Nothobranchius furzeri: one gene and its partners. The main gene of each other region encodes a partner of the protein of the gene in region 2 in a complex. Links are inferred from orthologs where the notes say so. Each region holds a gene or a part of one and is shown on either strand. Other genes may lie near its edges.

Evidence for each region.
Region 1: rbm8a (region 2) and eif4a3 share a complex: the UniProt entries of both Homo sapiens proteins name them as parts of the ALYREF/THOC4-EJC-RNA complex. The link is inferred for Nothobranchius furzeri from reciprocal best matches to the Homo sapiens genes RBM8A and EIF4A3.
Region 3: rbm8a (region 2) and casc3 share a complex: the UniProt entries of both Homo sapiens proteins name them as parts of the mRNA splicing-dependent exon junction complex. The link is inferred for Nothobranchius furzeri from reciprocal best matches to the Homo sapiens genes RBM8A and CASC3.
Region 4: rbm8a (region 2) and upf3b share a complex: the UniProt entries of both Homo sapiens proteins name them as parts of the mRNA splicing-dependent exon junction complex. The link is inferred for Nothobranchius furzeri from reciprocal best matches to the Homo sapiens genes RBM8A and UPF3B.
Region 5: rbm8a (region 2) and alyref share a complex: the UniProt entries of both Homo sapiens proteins name them as parts of the ALYREF/THOC4-EJC-RNA complex. The link is inferred for Nothobranchius furzeri from reciprocal best matches to the Homo sapiens genes RBM8A and ALYREF.

The regions. Positions count from the first base shown.
Region 1 is NC_091746.1:29,288,302-29,293,466, reverse strand, and holds the end of eif4a3 (eukaryotic initiation factor 4A-III), read left to right. Parts: intron 1-3,590; coding exon 3,591-3,718; intron 3,719-3,791; coding exon 3,792-3,808; 3' UTR 3,809-3,922; downstream 3,923-5,165. Other genes in the region: heme-binding protein soul4, read right to left, coding at 4,681-4,855, 4,936-5,116. UniProt on the Homo sapiens protein: ATP-dependent RNA helicase. Involved in pre-mRNA splicing as component of the spliceosome. Core component of the splicing-dependent multiprotein exon junction complex (EJC) deposited at splice junctions on mRNAs.
Region 2 is NC_091745.1:61,863,613-61,869,816, forward strand, and holds the start of rbm8a (RNA-binding protein 8A), read right to left. Parts: upstream 3,839-6,204; 5' UTR 3,747-3,838; coding exon 3,680-3,746; intron 3,042-3,679; coding exon 2,982-3,041; intron 1-2,981.
Region 3 is NC_091746.1:33,208,756-33,214,937, forward strand, and holds the start of casc3 (protein CASC3), read right to left. Parts: upstream 3,527-6,182; 5' UTR 3,484-3,526; coding exon 3,301-3,483; intron 1,955-3,300; coding exon 1,930-1,954; intron 1,843-1,929; coding exon 1,787-1,842; intron 1,610-1,786; coding exon 1,400-1,609; intron 1-1,399. Other genes in the region: serine/threonine-protein kinase WNK4, read right to left, coding at 6,030-6,032. UniProt on the Homo sapiens protein: Required for pre-mRNA splicing as component of the spliceosome. Core component of the splicing-dependent multiprotein exon junction complex (EJC) deposited at splice junctions on mRNAs.
Region 4 is NC_091741.1:85,713,031-85,719,269, reverse strand, and holds upf3b (regulator of nonsense transcripts 3B), read right to left. Parts: upstream 4,177-6,239; 5' UTR 4,051-4,176; coding exon 3,940-4,050; intron 3,717-3,939; coding exon 3,610-3,716; intron 3,534-3,609; coding exon 3,427-3,533; intron 3,340-3,426; coding exon 3,241-3,339; intron 3,095-3,240; coding exon 2,984-3,094; intron 2,635-2,983; coding exon 2,591-2,634; intron 2,497-2,590; coding exon 2,308-2,496; intron 2,235-2,307; coding exon 2,083-2,234; intron 1,997-2,082; coding exon 1,690-1,996; intron 1,599-1,689; coding exon 1,455-1,598; 3' UTR 1,023-1,454; downstream 1-1,022. UniProt on the Homo sapiens protein: Involved in nonsense-mediated decay (NMD) of mRNAs containing premature stop codons by associating with the nuclear exon junction complex (EJC) and serving as link between the EJC core and NMD machinery.
Region 5 is NC_091752.1:50,606,233-50,612,324, forward strand, and holds the start of alyref (THO complex subunit 4), read left to right. Parts: upstream 1-2,661; 5' UTR 2,662-2,788; coding exon 2,789-3,028; intron 3,029-3,292; exon of another isoform or gene 3,293-3,525; coding exon of another isoform or gene 3,526-3,732; intron 3,733-4,988; coding exon 4,989-5,147; intron 5,148-5,232; coding exon 5,233-5,380; intron 5,381-5,496; coding exon 5,497-5,560; intron 5,561-5,632; coding exon 5,633-5,822; intron 5,823-5,906; coding exon 5,907-5,921; 3' UTR 5,922-6,092. Other genes in the region: mcrip1 (mapk-regulated corepressor-interacting protein 1), read left to right, coding at 160-264, 358-425. UniProt on the Homo sapiens protein: Functions as an mRNA export adapter; component of the transcription/export (TREX) complex which is thought to couple mRNA transcription, processing and nuclear export, and specifically associates with spliced mRNA and not with unspliced pre-mRNA.

The DNA of each region.
Region 1 (5,165 bases), on a different chromosome or scaffold from region 2:
ATTGAAAATATAAAGGAGATTTTACAAAAAAAGCAAACTAACTGAAACTAACGAGCATTCACACAACTAAAGAAAAAATGTGTATTAAAATAGCGGAAAGGAGACGCCCCCTAGAGGACAGCAGGGCTGTGGCAGTGACCTGTCTATGATGCCATCAACAGGAGGGGACCCTTTAGGAAGATGCCACTTAAATTAGGGGTGCACAATATATCCGCATCAATAGGTGTCAGTCCGATAAACAAAACTGGGCCGATATTAACAACCGATATAATTTCCATCTTGTTTCCATCCATTTATCTGAGGGTGAGGGTGGTGGTGTATAAATTCAGTTCAGGTAACCCATGTGCAGCAAAGCAGTGAGGTACGGGGTGCACCGCCCTGCAGGGCCCTATAGACATGGAGCAGGACCTTAAGTTTAGCCAGGTACACAACCGAGAACCAGTGAAGCAAATCCAACACGGGAGCGATATGATCCCTCTTCCTTGTACCTGTCAAGAACCAGAGTGTCCAGTTCTGGGCCACCTGGAGCCGTGCCACCGCACCCAGGCTCAGACCAGCATCTGGTAGAAGCATCAAATTTTAAGTTCGTGACTACCTTCCTATCGTGTGAGGACAGAGAAGCAAGGTCAACCTGAAGGCTCTATTGGTGGTCAGAATCATTACCTCCGTTCTGTTCATATTCAAATGCAAATAACTGTAGGCCATCCATAACTTAACTTCCTCCTAAGAGTCTAGAGTGGAGAGACGGAGCCACCTGTCCCCAGACAGAGAGGTGGGTAGATCTGGAACCATCGCATTATGCTGACAGGGAGCCCCTCACTGGCAGCAAATAGACTGCAAAAAGAGGGGGCCCAGCATGGAGCCCTGTGGAACCCATCATCAGAGTCTCTCCCAGGCAGAGGTGGTCTTCCCTATCCAGACACCACTTAACGTCAAAGTAGGACTGCAGCCATTGAAGGGCCGGGTTAGGGTTAGTTGTTACCGGTCCAAAAATATGTTGGGACTGTGTCAAAAGCTGACGTTCTAGTAAAAGTACGACGACGGCATCGCACACATCTAGCTGAAAGACTGTAACGCAAAACCGTTAAAGGGGCGGTCTTGGTGCTGTGTCAGATGGAGCGAGTCTTGCGTGTTCCTTCTTCTCCTAAGATCCACAATCATCTTTGTTCTGTTAACATCTAAGATCAGATGCCTCACCCTTCCACAGATTCACCCACATCGTCTCTGTCCTCTGTCTCTTGTCCATGTCTGAGACACTCTGAATGACAGGACCAGGACATAGAATAGAATCGACCTAATTAATCCCACAGTGGGAGAATTCACTTGGAGAAAAGGAAGAAGAAGTAAATGATAGCAAAAGTACAGGTGAATACACGAAGGCAGTCCGCTGTTACTGTAACGTTCAGTCTCACACTCTGAGGTGCGTCAGTCAGGGTGTCAGTAATCCAGGTGTCCACCTGTGTCTTCTGACATGATAACTTAGCATGGATGGTTTTAAATGCCCTGGAGAAAACAAAGATTAGAAGCCTAGATGATCTACAGGCTTCACCCACGGTGACTCACTGAGCGTTGCTCACACTGGTGACGCCACCCACTAATGGTCCCAGCAGCAGCCCGGCTGCGTGGCGGAGGCTAATCCGGTTGTGTGTGTCAGCATTTGCATCGTGAATTTGAAGAGACAATTTGTAATGGGGTAAAAGTAGATATAGCGCCCCCCCAAGGGGCTTTACAACACAATCAGTCATTCACCCATTCACACCCTGGTGATGAGCTTCGTTGTAGCCACAGCTGCCCTGGGGCACAATGACAGAGGCGACTCTGACGTACACCGTCGCCACCGGTTCCTCTGATCACCACCAGCAGGCAAGGTGGGTCAGGTGTCTTGCCCAAGGACACAGCGACAGACTGAGGCCTAGTCCACACGTAGCCGGGTTGTTTTAAAAACGAATATCCGCCCCTCCAAAAACTTGCATCCACACCACCTCGTTTAAAAAACAGACCCTGTCCACACGTACCCGGATAAATACGTTGTTAAGGACATGCCAGACCTGTAGGCGGCAGTACTTCCCCCGTTCTTAACCTCGTCCTTCGTCTGTGGTCTTCCGCAAGGAGCAGTAATTCCTCTTGCAAAACAAACAAGCAGAAAGCGCTTGGACAATTGATGGATCGGGTAGTGACAGAGCGCAGCTCTGAAGGCATCCATGCTGTCGGCTAGTGTAAACACAGGTCGCACACGTGATGTCAGCATTTTTTTGTCGCAGAAAGTGACGTTGCGGACCTTAAAACTCCGGTTTTGTCTGTCCACACGCAGACACCCAAAACGGAGAAAACGCAGATCTTCACTTTGGCCGGAGTTTTAAAAAAGATCCGTTTTCGTGTGAAAAAACTCCGTTTTCGTGTGGACGACAGGCCAAAACGTAGATAAATATCTACGTTTTGGCAGATCCCTGGCTACGTGTGGACAGGGCCTGAGTGGGGCTTGAACCTGCAGCCTTCTGATTACGGGGCGAGCACTTGAGTCCTGTGACACCGTCACCCCATAAAAATGCATAAAATGATTGATAATATTGGTGTCTTTGTACCATATAACAGGGTATCCGCGGGTCCTTAAAAAGTCTTAAATTTGCTTTTCCAAATTTAAGGCCTTAAAAATCCTTAAAAATTACTAATAATCCTTAAATACAGTTTCCAAAGGTCTTAAATTACCAAAGACCCAATAAACAAGATTATTTTATTTCAATTTTCATGAATTTCTAGTTAGTGTTCAGCATTTTTTGTGTACGATGTTGGCGTAAGCGGAACCATACACATTCAGTTGGTTGTGAAAGGGGGCTTTTTTAGATGAGCACATTAGCTGTTTAAGCTAGTGGGAGATTGCACCATGGGGACGTGCAACTTTTATGGTAACTGGATGGCTAATCCCACGTTCGCAACGTGGTTCGCACCGGTTCCAGGCAATAGCTGGAAATTATAGCTTAAATTTAATTTTAAAAAATAGCTTAAATTTGGCTCTCTTAAACCTGCAGATACCCTGATATAACCATAGCAATTGGGTCTAAAGTACACAGGGCACAGGTCTAGCACCTTTGGGCGGTGCCATGTTTACTTCTGCTGGCTCCGGGTCCTGCGTCTGTCGATGACATCACACTAGATGATTGGCTGAACATAAGGCTTACGGAAAATCCGTTACCACGTTCAAAAACATGTAAGCAGTAAGAAACACAAACATAATAAAAAAACAAACGATGAATTATTTCTAAAATGTGTGAAAGAACAGAATCGAAAAAGAGATGCAATATTTTTGGGCCGAGAGGTATTGCCGTAGTAGTATGCCGTCGGCAGGAGCAGGACCCTGAACATGCAGAAGTAAAGCACCAGAAAACTTCTCAGCGTTCACTAGATGGAATTACCTGACGCACCATCAAGGTCTGAGGAGTCATGCCAAGCTTGCATGTTTTCTGCTCCACCGGCAGTTTATCGTAATGTGTTTTTAAACCAGCGAGTCACAACTACCCTGAAATGTATGTTTATACTGCCCCCTAGCGGCAGGAAACTACCCTGCCACTTTAAGTCATTCTGATCTCGCCCAGGATTGGTCGGTCGGGTCGTTATGGCAGAAAGGGTGTGGCCATCAACTTTGTGAAGAACGATGACATCAGGATCCTTCGAGACATCGAGCAGTACTACTCCACCCAGATTGATGAGATGCCGATGAATGGTATGAGTTACTGTTACCATAGCAACACTGGTGGCGGTCTGGTTGCTGCATTCATGTCTGTCTTTCTCTGCAGTTGCTGACCTGATCTAACTTCGATGACATCACCGTGGAGCCCGGCCTCCTGACCTTTTTATTTTAAATTGTTTGTGTTTTACCCGTTTCTGGTGACTTGACGGTATTTTGTAAATAAAGTCTTTAAAGTCAGTTTTTCCTTTCATGTTATTTCACCGTTTCCACGGAAACCGTTTAAATATGAAGTGGAGACGAGGAAGACCGTGTTCAGACAGGTTTCAGCTTTTTATTTTTCATTTGGAAGAAAAATGATCCTACGTGAAAATGAATGTAGAAAATCAGTTTGAAAACAGTTTATGATCACTGACGGAGGGAAGGACAGGCTCCGCCTCCCGTCGCCTGGGCATGCAGGGCACAACGACTGCTACAGAACACGTGACTGTACAGTTTCTTAAGAAGGTGTACTTCACCGTACTTAAGTTATTTCCAAAACTATGACGTCACACTAAGGTTGCTGATCCTGGAACAGTTGCAGGCAGCAGCCAATCAGAAGGGGCATCCTTCCTTCCTGTACAGTGAACCAATGGGAGGGTCAGAATCCAGGGTTTCCCCCAGAAAATGTTAAGCCTGGCGGATTAGCCGGGGGTGGGGGGGGGTCGTGCGCTCCGTCCTGTGGCGCTCCTCCGTGGGGGGGGGGGGGGGGGGGGGGGGGTCTGCACACGTTCCGCTGCTGTTTCTCACCAGAATCAGCTGATGGAGGGCTCTAGTTTCGTTGCGCCGTTCGTGTCAGCGGACACGGTAGGGTCGGGGAGGTGGGCGGGGCATGAGCCAGGCTTATAAAGCGCCGGGGGAAACCCTGGAATCTATTTACAGACACAAGCATGCTTCATCTGGTCGATCCAACAAGGGCACCCTATTAGGGAGGGGACGTGCTGTGTTGTGGGAGGAGCCTACAGGTCTCTCCTGATGAACCAGATCTCGTTGCGGCGCCGCGGTGCTCCTGGATGGTTGTATGACGCCACCATGTAGCGGTCATGATGTAAGTGGTCCCTGTGGTCCAGGAGGTCCCACAGCAGGCGGATCTGACGGTTCACCGTCTCCTCTGTGGTCATCCCGAAGAATGTCCTGCAGCAGGTAGCGTGAATAAGCTTGATCTAAAAAACCTGGAGAATAACAACCAGTCTAGTTTCAGACAAAGTCCTCACCTTGCAACCACCCTGAACGGCTCCCTGTAGACCACACGGACGTCCGGGTCGGAGGACTGAGGGGGATTGCTCTGAAACTCAGCTGGAAGGAAGAACGCCATCTCCACGTCTCTCTGAAACGTCTCGTCGTCCATCACCTGCACGCTGCTGACCACAGGTACAGTCATGTCCAGGTATCTGCCTGCCAATGACCAATAAGAAGTTCTGGAGTCATGATGCTATGATGTCAC
Region 2 (6,204 bases):
TGAGCTGTGGTGGCCTCATGGAGGGGGCCATCGTCTTGAACACTGTTGCTAACCACTTAATCATTATCTCTCCTGATAACACTTTACTTCCCTTGACATTGAATGTGCTACTACTAGTTTATCCGTGTAATTATAGATTCACTAGGATAAATACAATAAAGCTTATCTCTCACCAAATAGAGTATTTACTAAGAAATCACAATGCAGCCATAGAAACACTACTTGGTGTGTGTGTGTGTGTGCCTGCTCTGTCTTCTCGATCCCCAGTGAGTCATGGCGGATGGCTGCTTATACTGAGCCAGGATCCTCTGGAGGTTTCTTCCTGTTAAAAGGGAGTTTTCCTCTTCACTGTCACTGCATGCTTGCTTAGTATGAGGATTGCTGTAAAGTCACTGACACTAGTCAGTGACTCGATCCAATTTGCTTGGTTCCTTATATAGGAAACTGTTTTCTGACTGGCTTAATGAACTGACCTGTATTGGAATGTTTATTATGTGAAGTGCCTTGAGACGACTCTTGTCGTGATTTGGCGCTATATAAAAAAAACTTGAATTGAATTGCTGCTGTACACAGACACACACACACACACACACACACACACACACGCACGCACGCACACACACACCTCTGCTGACAAGACTAAATAATTATTAGGTTGTAGATCTTCTCCACAACAGATGTTTATATGTTTCCATTTATTTTTATATTACAGATGTTTGCACTGTATAGCCCTTGTCAGTCTTTGCAGTAGTTTTTACATCAAATTAGGTCTGTATTGGGTAGGACTACACAATTTTGGTTATAAACTATAAGTAGGTGTGTTGGCTCTTTTACCTGAGGGATCGGGGATTGTGTGTGTGTGTGATTATCTTGTTTCTGTCTTTTTTCATTTATTTCTCTTTTCCTGATTGCGCCCTGTGCAATTTTATGACTGAATAAATAACAACTAAAATCTATGTTAATGATAGTCATGAATAATCTATTTCATTTTCAGTCAAAATAATCATGATAATTATTTTTGCCATAATTGTGCAGCCCTCAACTACACACCAGTTTTTATTTTTATTAATAGCCAAAGTTAAGTTACACTGAAAATAATTAAACTACCTTTTTTAGACAATCAGCTGAATTGTGAAAACTGTTATTCTGTGGTCTGTGAGAGATGATGTGCTCACAAACATAAAAAATAAACCACAAAAACATGAGATCCCTTTGCTGTTGGTGGAAATCTCACATGTTCAACTAATAGGAATGGTTCAGTAGCGTTTTGTTGCTGAGGGACAGAAGGATGTGGGTGACAGTGGGGTGTCACAGGGCAGAGCTGAGGAATGAACAGTGAGACAGAATTCATGGGAAAACTTTAGATATTGGAGCGATCTCAGTTTGTTACTTCTCTGTAGTTTAGTGGGTTTTTTATGTATAAGGAGGGTGAGAGGGACGTATGTCCAGCAGACAGATCAGCTGTTTAGCTGGAAGATTAAAGGAGACCCAGAGCTGGAGTGTGAGGACAAAGCGATGATTTCAAAAATGAGCCTTCCTCTTTGAGGAAGATTAGATGGGCCATGAGCTGACTAAAAACAAGTCTTAATGGTGGTGCTATTTAGAACTGCAGCTATCGAATATTTTTGTAACAGAGTACTCTATCGAATCTTTTATTGATTAATCGAGTACTCTAATTAATTACTCTTTTGCGTTTTTAAAGCATTACATCAAATAGCATGTTATAAAATATGAAAGACCTCTTGAAATGAGAAAGCAATTGCCAGTTATTCTTCAAGTTTTATTCAAAATTAGTTTTCAAAACTTCAGCACTTCAACTTTACTTCACAGTAAACAAATGCGAGCGGCTGCGACCCAAACAGCACCAGAACCGCTCACGGTGCATGCGCAAACATGTCTCGCCAGCTTTTTCCCTATTAACACACGTTCGTTTTAATTTCTACACTTTTTTTTGTCTCACACTAACAAGGATTGTCGAAAGCATGTTTGCCGTGGTTATGTCAAATTATACTGATCAGAAAACATTTATTTACTTTCTTTCGTTTTCCTCCGCCACTCATAAATACCTGTCCTCCTGCAGCAATCCTGAGGGACAACGGACATCAATAACAACACAGTAAAAAGTCCAAGGTGTTGTAAAAACTGCTATTTTTAGCACATTTTAAGTCCGACGTGTTGCTACCAGACGTACGGTGTGAGCTGAAACTGAGTGCTACAAATGAAAAAGTCCCACAGTGTCCGCAGAATATATAGAAATACAGGCTAAAATGCATTATCTTGTAGAGGCTCCGAGTCCGCTTGCAGAAGTGACATTTACATGTGGATGTTTCCTGGTCAGGTGCTGCAGCATGGAGGATGTGGTGTTGTGGTAGGCTAAATCCATTTTACAGTATTTACACTGGAGTACGTTTTCCGCCTTACGACGTGAAAATGGTCCCACACTTTTGACATTTTGTGTCTTTTTCACACTCCACCGGGGTCCACATTGTCCGCCATGGCTTAAAAGAAAGTTAAGTTGCGTTCGCTACTCGCGTGTGCATTCAGTGCAGTGTGTATGTGCGTCACTTATTTCGGTCCGGGTGAAACATGACCACGGGCGATTGCAAAGCCATGAATTAATTAAACATGAATTAAACGAAGCTTCGAGGCAGAGAATTTGACTCGAGGATTTTTTGTACTCGAATTATTCGAGGTACTCGAGGAATCGTTTCAGCCCTACTGCTATTTATTTATTTTTACTCTTTTCAGCTTTGTTTTGATTAGCTGTCTGTTTACTGAGTATGCCTTCAGGGGATGCGCTCAAGACGTAGTGTGTCCTGCTGGTGCATGACGTTTAGCAGTCTGGCTCACCGAAACCTTTCACAGTACAGTGTGTCATCCCACTGGAGTTCTCTCAGTGTGACATGAGCAATCCTGTGTGATGACCGAAAAACGCTGTGTGATCCCGGCTAAAAGGACATGGCTGAAAACTGTTAGCTCACCTAAACCAAAGCCTCGTCCTTTTCTCTTCTTGGCCTTCTCTTTCAGCTTGTGGATGCTGTCTGCAGACAGAAACATAAAATTAAAGCCTGAAGATGATGCTGTGCGATGAAGGCAAATTCAATGATGATGATACAAACTCAATGTAGTTTCAATTTTAAGACATTTTAAGAAATAACTTCACAACTCTTTAATATGCCGTTTGTGCATTTGTTTTTAACATCGTCTTTATTCAGTCGTGTAAAATATGTTACTTATTGATTAAAAAACACGTTCCTAATTAACATTGAAGCTTAATAATGGGAGAAAACAAATCGAGTTTCAAAAAGTCTGAACTTTTTATGGTTCAAGCTACTTACTATAGGAACCTTAAGTGTGTGTTTGTTATCCGTTAGCTGCTAGCCAACTCCGTTCGTTGGTTTACTCTCTACATTAGCAGCAAAACACCCACACATGAACATTTAAACACTAAAACCGAACTTAGACGTGGTTTCCATATACTTTGAACCAACTAGCCACGCTGCTAACTCGCGCAGAGCGAATGAATCAACAGCTAGCTTACTTTATCTCGTTAGCTTGGGCCTGCTAACACGTAGCAAGGCGGTTGTTAATCTGGTGGTAACAGAAACATCAACGCGACATTATTTATACACCTGGATTAAGCAGCGCCTACTGCTTAACGCATAAGTAATAATATTACCATCACCATCCTCATCCATAGGAAAGTCTTCGCCTCCCGCCTCATGAAGGTCCAGTACGTCCGCCATGATTCCTCTGAGTGTGAGAAGATCTTCCTGGCTGCGGCTTGAAGCATGGGGCGGAACGTGGGCACAGGGCACATCCACACCATGAAACTTCCGTACCTGAAGGGGGCGCTATTTCCTATTGTTAGTGTGACTGTAGAAAAAGGTTTTCATCAATAAACAAACAACTTAGTAGATGTGGCTCGTGTATAAAACCATCCACACCTACAACCGCGCCCTAGCGTGTCGGGGACGCGCGCTGGAGCGCTTTAAATTGTCATGTTTCTGGTGTTAAAAAATGAACATAACTGAAAGATCTTTTAAAACAAACGGGATAGTAAAAACAATGCTGTTTTTCCAGATAAGCTGGACAAAATACATTACTGGTGATGAAGTCCAAAGATGAAATTACGGTAATACAAAAATACTAATGCATCAGCTGTAAAAGCATCCTAGATGATTTTATCTATTTTTAATGTAATCAACGGGACGTCGTTACGTGCATTAGCGCAACCTACTGATCTGTGGACCATCGAGACAAAAGGACAAATCATCGCGAATGAGTTCGCATTTGGAAAAAATAAATAAATGACACGCACTTTTATAGCGCCTTTTATTTTGATTTGCAAAAGAAAAAAAATAGACCAAAATAAGATAAAACAGACAAAAATCAGAATCATAAGGTTTTATTTCCATTTGTGCAAGAAACCACAACATTAGGAAATCGCTGCGGTACTTGGTGCAAAAAGAAAGATAAAAATAAGAAATTAGCAAATATAGGAAGTAAAAATATATCATGATAAAATAATTATTTAAGTGACAATAATTAGAGAAATGCTACTATACAAGGCAGTGTAGTTACTGATCAGTTCAGGTAGCAACAAATACAATACAGGGTCATGTGACTGGAACCAAGCAACTGGAGTGGGACCTAGGATTGTCATTCATGAGTCCAACAACAGAGGGTAAGAACTTGTTCTTGTGGCGAGAGGTTCTGGTCTGAATGGATCTGAACCTCCTGCCAGATGGGTGCGAGTTAAAAAGACTGTGTCCACTGTGACACAGGTCAGCTGTTTTCCAACAGCACGCCTCAATGTCCTGGAGGAGTACAGGTCCTGTATGAAGGGGAGTTTGCAGCCAATGACCTCCTCAGCATAGAGTGCAACATGCCACAGCTTCTTCTTGTCCCTGGTGGTGGCTCCTGTGTACCACACAGTGACAGAAGAGGTGAGGATGGACTTGATGACTGCGGTGTAGAACTACCTCACATCGACTGTGTTGGCAGGTTGAATTTCTTCAGCTGCATCAGGAAGTTTATCCTCTGCTGGGCCTTTTTTATGATGGAGGTGATGGTGGGCTCCCACTTGAGGTCTTGGGTGATGATGGAGCCCAGGAAGCGACATGAGTCCACCAACTTGGGGAGTGTCAGACAGGGTTATGGGGGGAAGTGGGGCTGTGTGCTTCCTAAAGTCCAAAACAACCTCCGCTGTCTTCTGGGTGTTTAGCATCAGGTTGTTGTGGCTGCACCAGGACACCAGCCTTGAAGCCGGGAAGTGTGGTATTTAATTATTTTGGGTTTATCACCCCAACATCACCCCAAGACATATATATATATTTATTTGTTTGTTCGTTAGTTTATTGTTTGTTTATGCGACTTGAAAGGCAGCGTGCACACCACAAATATTACATCAAAACAAACGGCTCAGCCGTGAAAAGTGTGGTTTATCAAGATTTTGGGGTGATCACCCCAATGTCACCCAATATTTATTTATTTATTTGTTTATTTATTTATTGTTGATATTTATATTTCCTTCAGTGTATTCTCTGACTGCAGCAGTAACATGTAAACTTCTGCAGTTTGTGTGTGTGTGTGTGTGTGTGTGTGTGTGTGTGTGTGTGTGTGTGTGTGTGTGTGTGTGTGTGTGTGTGTGTGTGTGTGTGTGTGTGTGAACAATATGAAGCCATTGCCCAATGATCAGTTAGCTAATATATTTATATTTTATAAATAAACGAGTTATTTTAATATGAATTTTATTTAATAAAGAAAACTCTTAAGATGAACCTCTGTTACAAGAGTGCAGATCAAAACATCACCTAGGTACAAGACACAAGAACATGGATGTCACTGTCTCACTGAAACTACTGAAACTATCAACAATACAAAGTCACTGTGTGAGACGAGTTTCTTCAGATTCAGGAGCAGCTTTTACTATCAGCATTGTGTGAGAGCATTAGTTGAATCATTGTGTGGAAACATGTTTGTCTTTAGTGTCTGGACTGGGCTTTCTCAGACAACTTCCTTCTCTGTGCTCAGAAAAATTCTCTCATAAAAGACAACAATGTCGCCCTCTAGTGGTCAGAGCCGTAAACTTGCATTTCAGAGACGACAGTACACAAGTTCAGACACCTTTGAAAACAGTCAAGGTCATCCCAATGACGCATGCATAAAATTGTGTAACTTAATAATGAAAAGTAAAATGAA
Region 3 (6,182 bases), on a different chromosome or scaffold from region 2:
TAAAAGTGAAGAAAAAACCAGAACAAAAACATCTAAAGTATGGGAACACTTTACTCTAGATGCCGTGAAAAGACGGGTGACCTGCAAGATATGCAAAAACGATCTAGCATGGCACGGAAATACAATTTCTCTAAATGAACATCTGAGACCAAAACATTTCGGAGTTGATGCAGCAGAAGAGCCAGCCCGGTAAGAAACTTACACCTAATGAGAGAATATACATGCAGTGGTTCCTCACTATAACGCAGATCACTGTTTGTGACTTTGCCGTTTCACTGAGCTTGTTATAGTACAATTTTACACCAGGGTTTCCCCCAGCGCTTTGCTTGGCGGGCCGCCAGACTAAGCATCATGCTCCACCCCCCTCCCTGACTGTGTCCACTGACACGAATGGCGCAATGAAACTAGAGCCCTCCATCAGCTGATACTGGTGAGAAACAGCAGCGGAACATGTGCAACCACCCCACCCCTGCTCTCACGGAGGAGCACTAATAAAACCACTTTGACTGTATTCATTTTTTTAGTTAGCCGTTGTCTCCTGGTAACACTTAGCGTAATGCCGTCTAAAGTGGATTTTCTGAGTCCTGCTAGATGGACACAGTATCAGACAGATTCCTGTATCGGGCCATCTATAATTCTGTAGATTCCAGTTCTTTAGAGAAAAGATGGAATTGGCCAAGTTTAACTCATTCACTGCCATTTGCATTTTTTTACTGTGTGGGCATAGGAACGAGTCCCCACACCGCGAGAACAAACATCTCAGCTCTAAAGCCAATCTTCATCTGCATACGGCACACATCAAGTGACCAGGAAGCAGAAAATCCATGTGTTAGGAGGTCCTTTTGGGCCACTGCTGTAAAACAAATAAATAAATAAATAAAAAATAAAAAAAGTGTGGCGCGAACCAGAAAAGCTTCTGCAGATCACAATTCAATAACGGATTATGAAAGAACAGATAAAGCTCGAAACGCACGGATTCTTCCTGCTGTAAGAGGTATCATCATCCTAGTGCGCAATGCTCTGTGACTCTTAAAAAAACAGTAAAAATGGCACACAAAAAAAAAACCGCTGGCAGGGAAGGGCTTTATCGGTCAGGAAACAGCTGGCAGCGAATGAGTTAATATCAGCTGCTCAAAGCTGTACAAATATCAGAAATATGTATAATTACACAAAATTTACATAGGTCCATTTTTTTATTTATTGTGCAGAAATTTATCAGAATTTAACCAAATGATAACCACCTCTTAAAACTTCCCATTATGTCAAATGAAGCTCAGACTAGCTCTGGAACAGAGCAGCTGAGCCAAATGAACATGGACAAAAAGACAACAAAGAGCTAAAAAGCTGTTTATGCATCAGAACCTGCTGACCAGATCCATCTGGATTTCCTGAGTCTCACCTGTCCATCACCACTCTGCCTCTCTCCTGTGAGGTTTTCCTTGTCCTCCCCCTTGGGCTCCTCCTTACTGTGTCCTTCTGCTTCCTCCTCAGCCTTCTCTTCCTCTTCCACCTCCTCCGGTTTTGGGTCGACAGCAACTGAAGGTTTGGGCTCACTGGTTGCTGCTGGAGCTTCCTCTTCACTGTAACCCTCCTCTTCCTCCTCTACCCCCTGGAAAAAGAATTTTTCAGAAACATCTCTTCTTCAGTTTGGTCTTTGAATTGGCATCCTTAGGTTGTTGTGCCAGATCTTTGACCAATCTGAACGTCTTTTCAATCCTACAGTCAAAAACAGACTCAGTTCTTGTCTGAGGGAAGGAAACTGGGAGTTGTGTTAGGCTGGATTTACCTCTGAATGGGAGCGGTTTTCCTCCGGATCAGCACTGTCATAATCTGAGAGGACAGCTGAACAAAACAGAGCCAGAGTCATAAAATCAGGAATCACCAACAACAAATCTAACGTGGAGCTGGATAACCAGGAGAGGCTCTTACCTTCTCCGGCTCCATCTTCACTCTCCTGCAATGACAAACAGGATCAAAATGACAACGTGAAGAATCTGGCTGCCTTTAGGTGTCAGGATAGACTCTTTCCTGGTGAAGGGGATGCTAGGTTCCTCATAATTTTACAGTGACATATGTGATGTCTGACTTGTAATCATTTTAATTATGAATTTTAACAAGCTAATAAATCTTAAATTACCTGACAGTTGAAAGAAACTCAAATCATTTTTAATTAACTCCAAGTACAACATACAAGTTATTCAGGGCTTACTGCAAAGCAGATTAGAACATAGCTTTTAAAGCCCCGTTCACTTGCATTCTTTTTTTATTTGTTCCAGGGACCCATGGACCAAACGAACAAGTAGGAGACTTTGGCTCCTTATTACTGTTGGCTCAAATACAAACACAGATGACAATAATGGAAAATATTTTTTAATCAGGACACTAGTTCATTTAACAAAGAGCGAGAAGTGTTCTCGTTAGCACGTTTTACTTGATGGTAAAAATCTTCTTTAGTTGAGACCTGGGTATCAAAACATGTTTATCCCCAATACATTTTGAAGTGATAATGTCCTCACGAACAATTATTTAGAAATCAACCCCTAAATAATTCATTTGACACATTTTATCTTAATGTAACCAAGTGTAATGCAGATGAACAAGTAAGGCCTGTAGCTAAAGGGTGGTACCCCAATGACATAAAATGTAGTGGACACTGAGGCCTTGAGACATGTCAAGCCCTCAGTCCCCTGATGGGTGAGGGTCAATGACTGCCTGGGTGAAGCTACTCAGTCATGGGAATCCAGCCTCGCGCATCTTCTGAATCAGAGTATTCTGATTTGTGATTACGAGATTTTATCTATGTCGTAACGCCCCTTAGTGCAACTGGGGCTAATCTGTGATTAATCAGAACTAACAGGGTCTTTAGATGTAATGGAACCACCACGGGTCTGAAGTCCAGCGTGGAGCCGCAGACTCAGGCGAATATCAGGGTGACTTTTAGCTCTTGGTTCGGCAGAAGAATCCACTTGGACCTCAGGTAACCATCCTCTATTCTCCAGTAACGGTTCTGAGAGACTGTTGGGACTGAGCCGGTGTTATGTCACATTTTGTTCCCGAGTAAATGTGGTTCAACTGCCACCTTTTCGTCTCAGATCATCGAACTACGAATGAACGACAAAACCCATCTCCTTACTGATGAACTAGTTAATCACCCACAGTCACGTCGAACCTAATGGTACCTCTAGAGAGCCTTAAGGTTTTTCTGGAAGCGGAATAAGTCAGAACTTTTAGCCCGAATTCCAAGCTTTGTGATGGACGGACCAACGTTAGCTGCTGGAGTTAGCCTGAGTAGCTACTCACACACTCGGACTCCACGTCGCTCTTCGCCTCGGTCCGGCTCTCTGTCACCTCCACTGGTTCGGGATCTCGACCTCGAGCCTTTGTCACGGGAGAACCCGACCTTCCGCTGTCCGAACCAGAACCGGACTCGTCGTCCTCGCTGTCCTGAGACGCGCGCCTCCTCCTTCGCCGCCGGTCCGCCATCTTAGGACTGGAATGGTTAGTAACGGAAAAAGCAACGCATTATGGGTAATGGTGTTCTTTTGGAGAGCAAATTCTCCCAGCTCTTTGATGTCTACTGCCGCCCTCTGGAAATGATTAGTACAACAACGATGTAATAACTATTTTAATTTGAACGTGTACGTGAATAAACTAAAGCAATTTTTACACATATTAGCCGTTACAAAAAAGTATGAATAATCTGGAACACCTGCACGTTAAATCAACAATGTAACCTACAAAAAACTGCTGGGAATCAAATTGTTGCCCTCATTTTCTAAGAAGATGCCAACTAGAGAACGTCCAAAGATCGGAAGTAAGTTGAAAAACTGAAATAGTGGCGTGTGTGTGTGTGTGTGTGTGTGGGGGGGGGGGGGGGGGGGGGGTCGTCTTTATGGTAAGTATGCTAAAAATATGTATAAAACTACAGGCTAGAAGGGGCTCTTTTATGCAATGTCAGGAATGCAGAACTGTCAATTAACATGTGCTCTGAAGTCACGTGGCTCTGATGCTCATTAATTATTCAGAATTTTAAGCATTAAATTACACTTTAAACAGAAGAGTGACAAAAAATCACCCCCTCAGAGTTGTCATGAATGTAAACTAGATCTATTAAACCTAAAGTGATTTTTTTAACCAGGCTGTAAACATGTTTTTTTTTTCTGCTGTGAAAATGGCATTTTTAACATGGGAGTCAATGAGGATTTGCTCACTTCTGGTAGAAGCCCCTTGGCCTGGCCTGCCAGACTCTTCCTCTGTTTAATTATGCACAGAGAGAGGGTGAAGAAAAGGCCAGGGGTCTCATTTATCAAACGTTGCGTAGAATCCTTACTAAAACCGTAAGCTCAGCAAAAAAAAAATGTACTTACGCCAAGTAGGTTTATGATCTATCAAACATGGAGTACGCACAGCTACACGCAATCTCCGCTTCATAAATTGGAGAATAATGAGAATGTTTCTCAGCTGCATTTTAGTCACATCCCGCCCTCACCACGCCCACTTACTGCCATAAATAGTCAATGCAAAGTGCCTTGTGAATCTTATGCATATACATAAGCCAGCTGTTGCAGCATTTCGATCACGACTGCAGATCAAGGAAGCGCTCTTTCACAAGCAGAAATTCAGGTACCTGTGGGTGAGGTGGAGAAATGAAAGGAAGTGCTTTTGTAAAACAAGAGAAAATTCACTCAGTGGCACAGCGTTGCTGAAGCCGTCAATGCTGAGTTCTTCAGAGAGATCTGTGGCGGATATTAAAAAAATGATCCGATCAGGATTCAATCCCCAGACTCCCGGATGAAAGTCATGCGTGCTAACCAGTCAGCCAAACAGAGATCTTCCTTGTACAAGTAGCCAGGGCGCATGATCAATCGGGTCACAGTGACAGGACACTTACATTGTCACTTACGCATGACATTCTGTATCAATCTGTCACCTTGCTAATTTTCTGCATTCCGTATTTTGCGCATCAGACTGTGTGTGTGCGCGCCAGGTGCACGCGCATGTGTGTGGGAGGTCTTGTTCCGTGTGAAAACGAAGCAGTACAAGGGATAATGCTCCAAGGCAGCTGTGGCTACATTGTAGCTCATCCCCACCAGCATGTAAATGTGTGTGTAAATGTGTGTGTGAATGAGTGTGTGAATTGGGGCATGACTGATTATGTTGTGAAGCGCCTTGGAGGGTTGTTGAACCGAGGCATTATACAAAAACAGGCCATTTGGGCAATATGCTTCACCTACCTTGCCTCCTGGATAGTCTGAGGGACCGTAGGCACCTATCAGGTCGTAACCTCAATTCTTTCAGCGAACCCCAGAATAGCTGTGGCTATTTATCTCAATCTGTGTGAATGTGTATGCGTGTGCTTTGGCGTCCTCTGGCTTAGATAGGTGCTATGCAAGAGCAGGCCATTTACCATATGTTTCACGGGTCAAAGAAGAGTCAGACCCCAGAAAATCCAGCTGACCTTGACCCATTTCATCGTCAATTGATCTCATTGTGGTTGACTCATTTCAGATTCAGACTTTTAAAACTAAACATGATTTATTTTATTGTTTTGCACAGACTCTCATCTCTCAAAACAGAAATCAAACATCACTAAATTAAACATTGCTAAATAACCAATCAGTTGGTTGGCTTTATCTGACTCCAGCAGAATAAATAAACAGAACTTCAACAGTTTGGTTCTGACAAAACTTGTAATGAATACATCTCATCATCAAACAGGTTTAAAAAGTAAAACTTTATGAGTTCATCATCATTAAAGTGGCATCTCTCAGTCAGCATTCATAACATAAATCATCCCTCTGAAATTTACTGAGAAATTCTCTTCAAGATGCTGAATGTAAGAATTAGTTTATTCACATGTTACAGAGTCTGTAAGTCCTACGACCGTTTCCTCCTCAAGGTGTTTCACCTGACGCTCATCAGAGACGATCTTTTTCTCAGGGAGAAGAGGCATCAAAATAGATTTCAGTCTCAAACAGGAAATGTACTCTTCTTCAGGCATCATGTGCAGAAGGTCAAAATTTAGCACCTCACTGCAACACAGAGGTCAAAGGTCAAACTGTTAATGAATGTAAAAGCAGCGTGACTAAACACCTTGAGTATAAAAAAAATGAAAGAAAGAAAACAAGGTCTAAGTGGAAGAATCGTGAAAAATTGAAAACAAAAACCAAAAAATATATTTT
Region 4 (6,239 bases), on a different chromosome or scaffold from region 2:
AAAAAAACCTTCCCCCATCTGATCTGACCCATCTAAGCTCCTTTTGGACTCGTCTCTGCTCCTCTTTATCTTCAGCCATCGTTCAGCATGTATTTCAGCTCAGGGGTCGACCAGGGTTTATTGTTCCAGAAACACCTCATTCTTCGTGTTCGGACGGTGTTCTCTACGCAGTGTGTCAGGCTGTCAAGGCCATCGCCATGAGCGCTGCAAAGTGTCTCCCAGTCTGTGGTGTAGAGTCCTTCAGCCTTTCTGTTGCTCCCTCAGTCCACACTCTCACGATTGTTCACTGAGGAGGTGCCCTAATTGCCCTGGGTATGTATTCAGGGATCAGATGAATGAGGTTGTGATCTGAGCAGCCGAACGGAAGGTGGAAGTGTGTGTGTTTTGTCACATTAGCGTGCAGGAGATCAATTGTCTTACTGTCTCTGGTGTGGCACTTCAAATATTTGGTAAAGGTGGGGAGAGTGGAGGAAACCGAGGTGTGATTAAAATTCCCACTGATGAGAATGAGTGCCTCTGGGTGAGCCGTCTGGAGCTTCTCCACAAAACGTTGTAACTGCTCGCATGCAGCAACTGCATCGGCCGAGGAGTGGGCGGGTGTACACATCACTGTAGAAATAGTCAGGTATTTTTGATTTATAGGGTGCTGGAGTGTGCCCTCGTTTTCTGAAAGCTGTTCTACAATTGAAGGAGTTTATTATAATGAAGTTTTTATTAAAATAATAACTACAAGCAGCTTTGCATGAAAACGAAGCTTGCTATCTCCGGGAACACAACGTCAAATATACGACGCAAAAAAGTAGAAAAATCAACTTTTGCAAAGACTTTTTAGTCAGAAATGTAGCCTCTTTATCAGTATCACCTTTAATGACATATTAGTAATAAAAAAGGGATAAGGCCACATGTTTATCACTGATTGTTTATATACATGCGGTCACGTGGCAGTCTACTTAGAAATGGCTAATTCTCCTCCAGGTTTCCATAGTAACAAGCATACCACAGAATCCCAGACCAGATCAGTTTATGATGCATAGGTACTTTATCTCAAACTATTAAATATCTCACAAGAAAAATCCAGAAATCACCTTGAAGAAACCACGTGTTGACATAGTGAACATTATAAATTTATTTTAGAGTGATTTAGATAACGAGCGTGAAGGCACCTTTTTTGCAGAGTGTAAAACACTTTTCCTCCAAAGCGATAATGCTGAATTAAGTTCACTTTGACATCACATGGTCCCCAAAACTTTGGCTTCCTTGAATGTGCCCTACAGCCAAACTCCTTCAGAAGGTGAATCGTTTCTTCTCCTAACACAGACCAAAGAGGATCACACCTCTGCCTCCGAAACTGGGAGCCCTGCTTAATCAGTGGAGCGCGTGGCTCCGAGACGCCATACTGCTGCTCGCAGGCCTGTCTCTTCACCTAACTCAAATGAACAAAAGCAGAGGTCTGCTCAGTCGTCTACTTTCTCAGCCACGTTCTTGCTCTCAGTATCTGGTTTTCTGTCGGCAGAGTTGGATTCTCTTCTGTCTGCTCCTGGTGTGGCACGGTGGCGGCTCCGGGCCCCTGGCTGGTAAAGCTGAATGGCGGGTCGGTCCTGTTGCAAATAATATAAATAAAATATTACAAAAGGAAAACAAACTCAGAAATTATTTGGCACAAGTGTGAGAAATAACTGGAGTCCGTACCTTATTCCGCAGTCGCTCCCTTTTGCTGCTCTCATCCTTTTTGTTCTCTTTGGCAGCCTTCTCCGTTTTCTCACCGCGAGGGGAATCTGCCATGTTTTCATTCCTCTTCTTCTCCAACGCCTTTTCTTTTTTAATCTCCTCTTCCCGCTTCCTGAACGTGTTCTCTCCATCATGCTGCTCCCTCCTCCTCCGTCTTTCCTCGTCCTGCCGTCTGAAGCGCTCCTTTTCCCTCTGCCGCCGCTCCTCCCGCTCTCTGTCTCGATCAAAGTCCCGCTCCCTGAATTCCTTTCTCCCACTTTCATCTCTTCTAAAAGGAAATCACAGCTGGAGTTAAATCAGTTAAATGTACAAACAAAAGTGCAAAATGCCAGGAAAAAAAGAACAAGAACTGACTTTCTTTCACGATCCTCCTTGTTCTCGATGTTATGTCTCCTCTTCAGATCACTGAATGACCGGACCTCTTTATGTGGCTTCTCTGGTTTCTTGGACTTCTCTTTAGGCTTTTCAGACTCTGCTTCATCATTTCTATCTGGTTTCTTCAGGAGCTGAATATAAAGACACAATCATCATGAGAAACTTGAAATTGACAGATGCATTTTTTTTTTTCACTGCACGAACCTTAATTTTTGGTTCTTCCTTAACGTGGTCCTTGTCTTTCTCCGGCAGTTTCTCAAGTCTTTTCATCTTCTCAGCCTCTTTCCGTTTTCTCCTCTCCTCCTCCCTCCACTTGCGACGCTCTTCGTCACGCAGGCGCTTGCGTTCAAGCTCCCTCCTTCGTCTCTCCTCTCTCTTTTCCTCCCTGATTCTCTGAAAGTTAAAATAGAAAGTTTGATGGATTCTTGCTAACATGCAGTTGAACCAATTTATCCTAAACACCAAAAAACGATTACCACATGCTTACCTGTTTATTCTTCAGGTAGTCCAACAAGGGCGTGGTCTTTTTAGCTAAAAGAAAGGGGAAGAAACCCACAATAAGAAATCTTGTCAAATGCAATGCTCCTGTTTACATACAAGCAGTTATAACAGTCCCATTTTTGGTTCTTTTTTAAACACAGATAAGGTTTTTCTTTACCTTGCTGACGTTTCGTTTACGGCTGCAAACATCTTCAGAGCTGACGCTGATGGTGGCGTCACTTCCTACACATCCACATCAGCGGCAGCTCTGAAGATGTTTGCAGCCGTAAACGAAACGTCAGCAAGGTAAAGAAAAACCTTATCTGTGTTTAAAAAAAGAACCAAAAATGGAATTTGAAGACAAACACAGCAAGTGATAACGGTGCTGTCATAAACAAACCTTCAAGTTCTTTTGATCTGGCCTCGATCTCCTCCAACAAGGTCTCAGGCGTAGATGTCAGCTTCTCTTCGTCTCCGTTGTAATATTCAAGAAATTTTTTATAATCAGGATCTGATAAAAACACAAACATGCTGAGCTATAGATTTTTATAGATAGATCTCAAAATAGATATGTTAGGGACGAACATGGAGTTTCTTCAAGCTTATTTCTTTTTATAACAGAGAAGATCAAAACCACCAGACAGTTTAAACCCTTGCCTTCAGTAATTGTTCCACACTTCGAGTCCTTCTTCTTACTTCTTTTCTTGGCTATCTTTTGAAACGGCGCAAACTCCACAATGGCTGGATACTCCTGTCCTGTTGAATGGCCAAACATAAACAAGGACAGTCTCAGGTCAACGCTCTGGAACACTTCACAGAAAACTGGGTGTGTGTTCTTGATACCTCTGTTGTCTATGAACACATATCCATCGAATCGATCTCTGAAGAGAACAATATCATCTTCATTTTTGAAACTGATGTAAGCCCTCGCGAAGAGATGGGGATACAGGCTAAAATGACCGGAAGTGCCATGTTAGACCAACACAATGAAGGAAATGCTAACAGTCATTTTACAGGTGAACTCACCTGGTGTCGTTTGAGAAAAACTCCATGTAGTCCACCTCTGGGAGAGGCTGCAGCTGCTCCTCTAACTCCTCTTTAGACAGACTTGGTGGTAATCGTCTGATTACAATCTACGAACACATTGTAAAAAGTTCACTACCTTAATTACTAAGCAGGGCTTTGTAAAATGAAATTTTGGTCCAGTCTTTAAATGTATAATTTCAATCGTAGAACATTTTATCTGAAAACAAAAACAAAACAAAAAAGTTAAACCATGCTTTTATTTAATAGAACTACACGAATCCAAAACTGACGTCTGTAGCAACATTAGCTGCTTTAGCTAGCAAGTTTTACCTTTGTCATGGCCTCTTTCTTTTCTTTTGACTTCTCAGTCTTTTCTCCATCTTCACACTTTAGCTCCACTTTTTTCTCCTTCGGTCGAGTGTTTTCTTTGTCTTCTTTCATAGCTGAACGTCTACAGAGATCCACAGCCTGCTCTCATCTCACTCAACAGACTTGTTTACTTTTCAGAGAGTTAGCCAGCTAGCAGCTAGATACTAACCGCTCGAAACTTCCTTTCTGACTACTGAAGCTGCATTTACAAGTTTTTACCAGGAGGTGGCGCTAAATACAAAGCAATTACACATTTAAAAAAAAATGTTTTTGGTAATTACTATTTTCGGTAATTACTGGTAATTATATTTTTGTTAATGTCCATTCTAAAATATTTTTCTATAGTAAATTTTTTTGTAGAGCTAGGGTTAAGTCTGATGTAAAGTTAAGATTGAGATATGTCTACTGTCCACTTAGTGACACTAGACATCTTTTTATTGGAAACATTGCATTGTTTCCCTATTTGTGTTTCAAATTTTCCTTGTTCGTTACTTTTATGTATTTGATTAATGTATTTTGTGATACGTTTATCCCACGACCCTGCATGGACTAACAGGTATAGAGAGTGGATGGATGATACTTTTATTTTATTTATCTTTTAATAGTATTACCAAATTGTATCTTTATCTGTTTATAAAGTTACTCTATCTATCTATCTATCTATCTATCTATCTATCTATCTATCTATCTATCTATCTATCTATCTATCTATCTATCTATCTATCTATCTATCTATCTATCTATCCATCCATCCATCCATCCATCCATCCATCCATCCATCCATCCATCCATCCATCCATCCATCCATCCATCCATCCATCCATCCATCCATCCATCCATCCATCCATCCATCCATCCATCCATCCATCCATCCATCCATCATCTAGTAAAGTAAGTAAGTAAATTTATTTATATAGCACTCATCAAAGACAGAAAACCACAGTGCTTCACATAGATCAAAACAAAACAAATCATAAAGTCATAAAATCATAATGATCTTAAAAAAAGATTAAAACAGAAAAGTTAAGTCATTAAATGATAAAATACCATAAAACAGATGAAAGATGATTTCTAATTTTGAGTTAAAAATAAGAAAATAAAAGATTTAGGTAAAAGTAGCTTTAAATAAAAGGGTCTTTAGCTGTTTTTTTAAAAGTGTCTAAACTGTCAATGCTACATAAAGATAAAGGAAGATCATTCCAGAGTCGGGGTGCAACAGTCTGGAAGGAGCTATCCCCTCGACTTTTATATCTGGTCTTTGGAACATCTGGAACGTTCTGGTGAGTGGACCTGAGGGCTCGGATTGGAGCATAAGGCTTTAACAGTTCAGTAATATAGGGCGGAGCTTGACCATGTAGAGCATTGAAAGTTGTCGTCGTCGTCTTCCTCCGCTTATCCGGGTCCGGGTCGCGGGGGCAGCATCCCAACTAGGGAGCTCCAGGCCGTCCTCTCCCCGGCCTTGTCCACCAGCTCCTCCGGCAGGACCCCAAGGCGTTCCCGGACCAGATTGGAGATGTAACCTCTCCAACGTGTCCTGGGTCGACTCGGGGGCCTTCTACCGGCAGGACATGCCCGAAACACCTCCCCGGGGAGGCGTCCAGGAGGCATCCTGACCAGATGCCCAAACCACCTCAACTGGCTCCTTTCGATCCGGAGGAGCAGCGGTTCTACTCCGAGTCCCTCCCGAATGTCCGAGCTCCTCACCCTATCTCTAAGGCTGAGCCCGGCCACCCTACGGAGGAAACTCATTTCGGCCGCTTGTATCCGCAATCTCGTTCTTTCGGTCATTACCCAAAGCTCATGACCATAGGTGAGGATTGGGACGTAGATCGACCGGTAAATCGAGAGCCTGGCTTTCTGGCTCAGCTCCCTCTTCCCCACGACAGATCGGCTCAGCGTCCGCATCACTGCAGACGCCGAACCAATCCGCCTGTCGATCTCCCGATCCCTCCTACCCTCACTCGTGAACAAGACCCCGAGATACTTAAACTCCTCCACTTGAGGTAGGACCTCTCCCCCGACCCGGAGGTGGCAAGCCACCCTTTTCCGGTCGAGAACCATGGTCTCAGATTTGGAGGTGCTGATCCTCATCCCAGCCGCTTCACATTCGGCTGCGAATCTACCCAGCAAGAGCTGAAGGTCAGAGCTGGATGAAGCTAGGAGGACCACATCATCCGCAAAAAGCAGAGACGAGATTCTCCTGCCACCAAACTCGACACACTCCACACCTCGGCTGCGTCTAGAAATTCTGTCCATAAAAG
Region 5 (6,092 bases), on a different chromosome or scaffold from region 2:
CCTACTATCCTGTAATCCAGGTTAAATCCCATCAGTTTGCCTGTTTAGCTTCTTAATGACCTTTAATCAATGTTTCTTATTATATTTTTGCTAATAAAATCCTCTGAGCTGCTCTTGCTTGCAGCAAAGATGTTACGTTTCCTCTCCCTCCTTCCGCAGCCTGGCAGTGCGTACTCAGAGACATCAGATCAACACAGAATAGTGAACGGAACGACCGTGGACCACAGGAGTACGTGGACAAGAACCCCAACCCTAACCTACATTGTAAGTCATAATAAATATGTTTTATTAAATGTCACATTGAAGGTGTTCAGATCAAAAATGTGTTTTTGATCATTGTTATTATTCGCTCTGCAGCCTTCACACCAGTGGACCTGAGTGATCTCAAAAGGCGTGTTGCCTTTTTGGACTCCAAGAAATCCTAGTGCTTCCTGTGATGTTCTCATTGCTTTTTTCCATCCATTATCCTGAAGAACTTTTCATTTCTCAGCCCTCTGACAGCCAACGCTGTTGGCTCATGTAACAGAAACAAGTCTCATTTCTATACTATGGACCATAGAAACTCATGTCTTTTTTTTGTTTGGTTTTACCCTCGACGACCGACAAAGAAGAAAAGCAAACACACTTGAATTTCCAGGGGCACAAACCTTCCCCTCCCGCTCAGTTTTTCATGTTTTCCCTTACAAATTCTGAATATTTACCGCCCTAATGTGGATGGGTCCGATTCAAGTGTGCATCAAAATTCGCAGACATCTGATGCTGAGGCTCAAACTAAAGCCCGACGGGACACAAAAGTCTTAAATATAGTAGTACCTGCTGCTTAAATAACTTTTGGAGGCAATTGTAAAAGAGCTGACTTGTGTTTTGGGTTCAGAAAGTAGATCGATAAATCGATAAACGCTAGAAGTAACTGAACATCGGACACGCTTTATGGGAAGCTTTTGAAAGCCAAAATACTAAATAGAAGGCCAACATTTTTATTAAACAATTTGTTGCCCGTTGTGGACTTTATTATCTAGAATGCAAGGATGCAGTCCTTGGTTGACCCTTCTCCTCTAAGCCTTTACACAAAATATTGAATAAAAGACTTTTACAGTACGTTTGCTTCTGTGGATTCAGATTCATGATTTTTGTTGTTTTGGGGTTTTTTGGGGTGGAGGGGTCAGACTTCAGCTAACATGTTTTATTGATACTGAGTAAATTCTAAAGGCATTTTATTTTTTATTTATTTCAATTATTAGAGGGGGCTATCCAAAATACGTGGAGAAGGTTCTGTCCTCTCCCTTTTAAATCACACTAACTGATAAACTATGTTATTTGGAAAGCTAGGTTGAATGTTTCTAGCCGGACCTGTAAAAGTAAGACATGTCTGACAATGTCAAGTAGGCTCAATGATCTCAAAAGCAAATGGTTGATTGCAGTTATTACAAATAGGCATGCAGTGCCAGGTTTTGGCTGCTTTTTCCCTTGAAAGATCAAATAATTGTTTATCTGAAGTGTTTTGCAAAATTTTCATATTTTAAAATTTTCTTGAGCCAGTGTGTGCTAAAACAACCCTGTACAGGGTTAATGAAATGTCACTCAGACCCCGACCACCCTCTATGGCCAGAATGTCGCACTTGCAACTTCAGAGTTGGACTTGTGGAGCTGACATGCCTGGTGCTGCAGTCTGCTTCCTGCATGTTTTAGATCATAAACACTGCTGGTTTGGTCAATTTAGTGATGAGCTGCTCCTGTAGAAATTAAGGAAGGATGGGGAGACATTATTATGGATTAAGGTGTTTAAAAAGGTGAATGCACAGTTTCACTTTTGGTTTTACTAACAGAACACTAGGGGCTGCTAAAAGCAACCCAAAACTGGTTAGTTGTGCAAAAAAAAAAAAAAAAAAAAGCAAAAGTTTAGAAATCTAAGGGGTCAGTAGCCATCACCAGTTCTGTGTAACTGCTTAAAGAGCAAGTCACCCCCTACCAGAGTATTACTCCGCTCCCACTTCCTGTTTGAAAAATGCAACAAATTCTGTTGCCTAGCAGACCAAGAGGGCGGGCCCGCTAACAAATACACACACACACAACGACATTGTGACATCATATGCTACCAGCTAACGTTCTAGGGTACCCCTTTGCCAATAACGATGGCAGATTTAAATTCAAATGCAGTGCAGAGTTTTTACCTGACAACGGCACAACACTCACAGTTTTAGGCAGAAAATTTAAATTTTAACTTAAATGCACAAAAGTGCAAAACTACACGTGTCTGCAGCACGGTTAGATACGCATTTATATAGTTTATCAGAAAAAAGTTGATCTGGGAGTGTCTTGCTCTTTAAACACTTAACTATATTATTTTAAAATCCTTGACTTTGTGAAAGTTTCTTTTAAGAATTGATGATTGATGTGGTTTAGTTTTTCCCGGTTATTTCTTCAGTTTACAGTTTTAGTTTCGATCAAATGTTATATGTCATATTTGTCAAAAAAATATTTATTTATTTGTTCTGTATTTTACCACATCTGTGTAGAACTTTTGCACAATTCGCACATTTTCCTGTCAAGGTTTCTTTTAGATACATGCTCCGCCCGGTTCCGCCTCATCGTCGACAGTAGAGGGGATCACGTTCACGTACTCACGTCAGGCTTACGTAGAGAACGTCGTGTTCTACTACTTGTGTTTAGCAGCTGCTACAAGAATCAGACACCGTTGAGCCTTGAAAGGGACAGGGAGAGGGACCGACCGTGTCTAGGGTGTAACATTCTTAATTTGTTCAAAGTTTAGCGTTATTGGGGCAGCAAAATGACCGATAAGATGGATATGTCTTTAGACGACATTATCAAACAGAGCAGGCAGCAGAGAGGTGGAGGCCGGGGAGGAAGAGGCCGTGGCCGCGGAGGCACAGGCAGCGGCCGGGGTGGAGGCGCTGGGCGACTCGGAGGCGGCGGCGGAGGCTTTGGAGGCCGAGGCGGTGGATCCGGCCCCATGAGGAATCGACAGAACCTGAGTCGCGCTAGAGGCAGACCTACGCCTTACAGCAGGGTATGAGAATGTTAGAGGAATAAGCAGAGAAATGTTTTCATATTGTGTCCCTTCTCCCGCAACCCAAATGTGTAACGCACGTCGAGCTTCAACAGCCTACGGAAGGAGTGGAGGCCCTCAGCGCCATTTTGAATCCAGCCCCGCATTGTGAAGCTAGTCGTCAGTGAGTGCTCAGTGAGAGGTATCCTGGCCACGGTGGTGAAAGAAACCCACTTCGTCAAGAGTATCACTCGAAAGTGTGTTTTCACTGCTTGTCGGAGCGGGATATGTGCTCAAGTTCCCGCCAGCGCAGCGACCAGGCGGCCTTTTGTTCGGGGAGTGGGTTCTCAAGCCCTCTGGTGGCTTTTTCTACCAGTTTGCCTGTTACTTGTGGATGGAAAAGCGGACTTTTACTCCTCTGTTAGTGCCCAAACAAAACCGGTTCTTCGTCTTTTAAAGTGTGATCGAGTTGGTAGCGAAGCCAAACAAAGCCCCAGTCAAAATGGCGTGGTTTCAAAATGGACGCTCACGCAGAGGGGAGATCTGGCCATTTTCACTCCTCATCCAGCACACGGACTCTTCCCCTACTGAGAACTGTTCTGAGGTCCAGGACACAAAGTACCAGCGCTGGAGACGCCGCTGCATCGAACAGGAGTCCCCGAGTGTCCCGAGGAGCTGGCTTTTCTGGAGGGAGGCGCAGATGGCGAGAACAATGGGCATCTCTGGTAGCTAGTCTGAGGAGTTTTACAGGTTTAGCATCAAGTCTGTGGGTTTGGGTTTAAGAAATATCTGTGATGGTAATACTTAGGTTTCTGGAAAGGCTCGTTAGTCTATTCTAGGGTTTATTTCACTAGAAACCCAGAACAGGACTGTTGAGTTTTGTTTTTATGGTTTTGTTTTTAATCCATTTACTACATCAAACTTGGATCTAAAGAATACATTTTTATTTTAAGTGGGCTTTAATGGGACCATTTTTCTTTAGACAGTTGATTAGAGTGATTGAAACAAGTGGCTCCCAGATCTTTTAACTTCTGATTTACAAGATCTGTGATTAAAAACCTTCATTATTCATGACGGACACGTACAAATAGCCAATAAGACAATTACATTAGGACAGGAAGATGACTCCATCCACTTTCACCAAGACTAAACGCTTGTCAGTTGGTCTGTTTAGATGTTTTCTCTTCATATATGTCAATTATTTTTAAATTTGATAATCTCAACATTGGTGTCCTGTCCTAACTTTGGGAACCAGTGAGTTTGAACTAGGGATGCACCGATACGATACTGGTATCGGCACCGATACCAATACCAGTATCGGTGAAAGTTAACCAATACCAGGAACCGATACCAATGCAGTTGCTTGAAAATGGCTTCACTGTAACTTGTCATTTCTGTTCACCTAATATTTTAGTTTTGTGATGATTTCCATTCATATATTTTACTTTTTATCTACCTCACAGTCTTTTCCTGTTGAAAGCAGAGAAGAAAGTAAAATCTGCATTCCAAATCATTGCATTTTTTTTTTTTTTGTGTGGTAGAAGTATCTGTATTGGTATCGGCGAGTACTAAGATCGGTTTGGAAAAAAGTGGTATCGTTGCATCCCTAGTTTGAGCATGTTTTTACTAACTTAAATCAGTATGGACTTTATTGTGATGTTTGTACACATTCCGATTTAAGATGGCCCAACATTGGTGTGTTAACGTTTAAAAAAGTTCAAAATTTGAATCGAAGCGAGACTACTACAAATCCCCTTGCTTTTGAGTATTTGTGTGCACGTCCCTTTGAGCTGATGCACTTGCTCGTTGTGACGGGGTGGGCAGGGAATACTGGGGACCCCCCCCCCTCTAAAGGGAGCTGAGCACCATGTTGGAAGTGGAGCCCCCTGCTTGCCCCAACAGCCAGCCGTGTGGACTCAGTGATGGGCAGAGGCAAGGGGATCCTGAAGTCAGCAGGTGCGTTCTCTTTCATCTGTTGCAGCCTAAACAGCTCCCAGACAAGTGGCAGCACGACATGTTCGACAACGGCTTCAGTGGCTTCAATGGTGCTGCTGGGGGTGGCGGGGGAGCTGGTGTGGAAACTGGAGGGAAGCTCCTCGTCTCCAATCTCGACTTCGGTGTTTCCGATGCAGACATTCAGGTACTCCAAAATCCGCGCTTCACTGGTTGGTTGTGTTTTATGGCTTGTTGCTGTCTTAGACTAATCTTGGATGTACTTTTTCAAGGAACTTTTTGCGGAATTCGGAACTCTGAAGAAAGCTGCAGTTCATTACGACCGGTCGGGAAGAAGCTTAGGAACAGCAGATGTCCACTTTGAAAGGAGAGCTGACGCTCTAAAGGCCATGAAACAGTACAACGGCATCCCACTGGATGGTACGCTTCAGACCTTGTTTACATTTTTCTGGTTTGACATGACTAAATAATTCAAACTTTCTTGAGTGTTCAACCCCCTTTGAGCTGATTTATAGTGGATCACTTCCTCTCCTCAGGGCGACCTATGAACATACAACTTGTCACGTCACAGATTGACACACAGAGACGGCCGATGCAGGGGTAAGTTAAATGTTTATCTGATTAAAGCATTAAAGATTGGGTTGTGGTGTTAAATTATTTTTACTGTCTCAGGCTGGGCAGAGGGGGTGGCCGTACGAACGTGGTTGTGCGAGGGTTTGGGGGCATGCAGAGAGGTCGTGGGGGCCGTGGTGCTGGCGGTTTTCGAGGAAGAGGGCGAGGCGGCCGTGGAGCTGGTGGTGGAGCAAAGCAGCAGCTGTCAGCAGAGGAACTCGATGCCCAGTTAGATGCCTACAATGCCAGGGTGCGTTGATCTGACAACACAGGCTCTCTTGTTGGTTAATGTCACTAAATGGCAGTCTAATTGACTTTTTCTTTGTTTTCCTAGATGGACACCAGCTAAGAGACAAAGTGCTTCCTACTCCTCACCCCTTCCTTTCTGTGCAGAGCAGCGTGGTTGTTACACACGTGCAGAATATTTTACACTTGGTCGTCTTCTGGTGTGATTTGATGTTGTTCAGACCTTATTTTAAGTACTCCAAAGTGTTTTTTACCTGTTTTTTTTTTTTTTTTT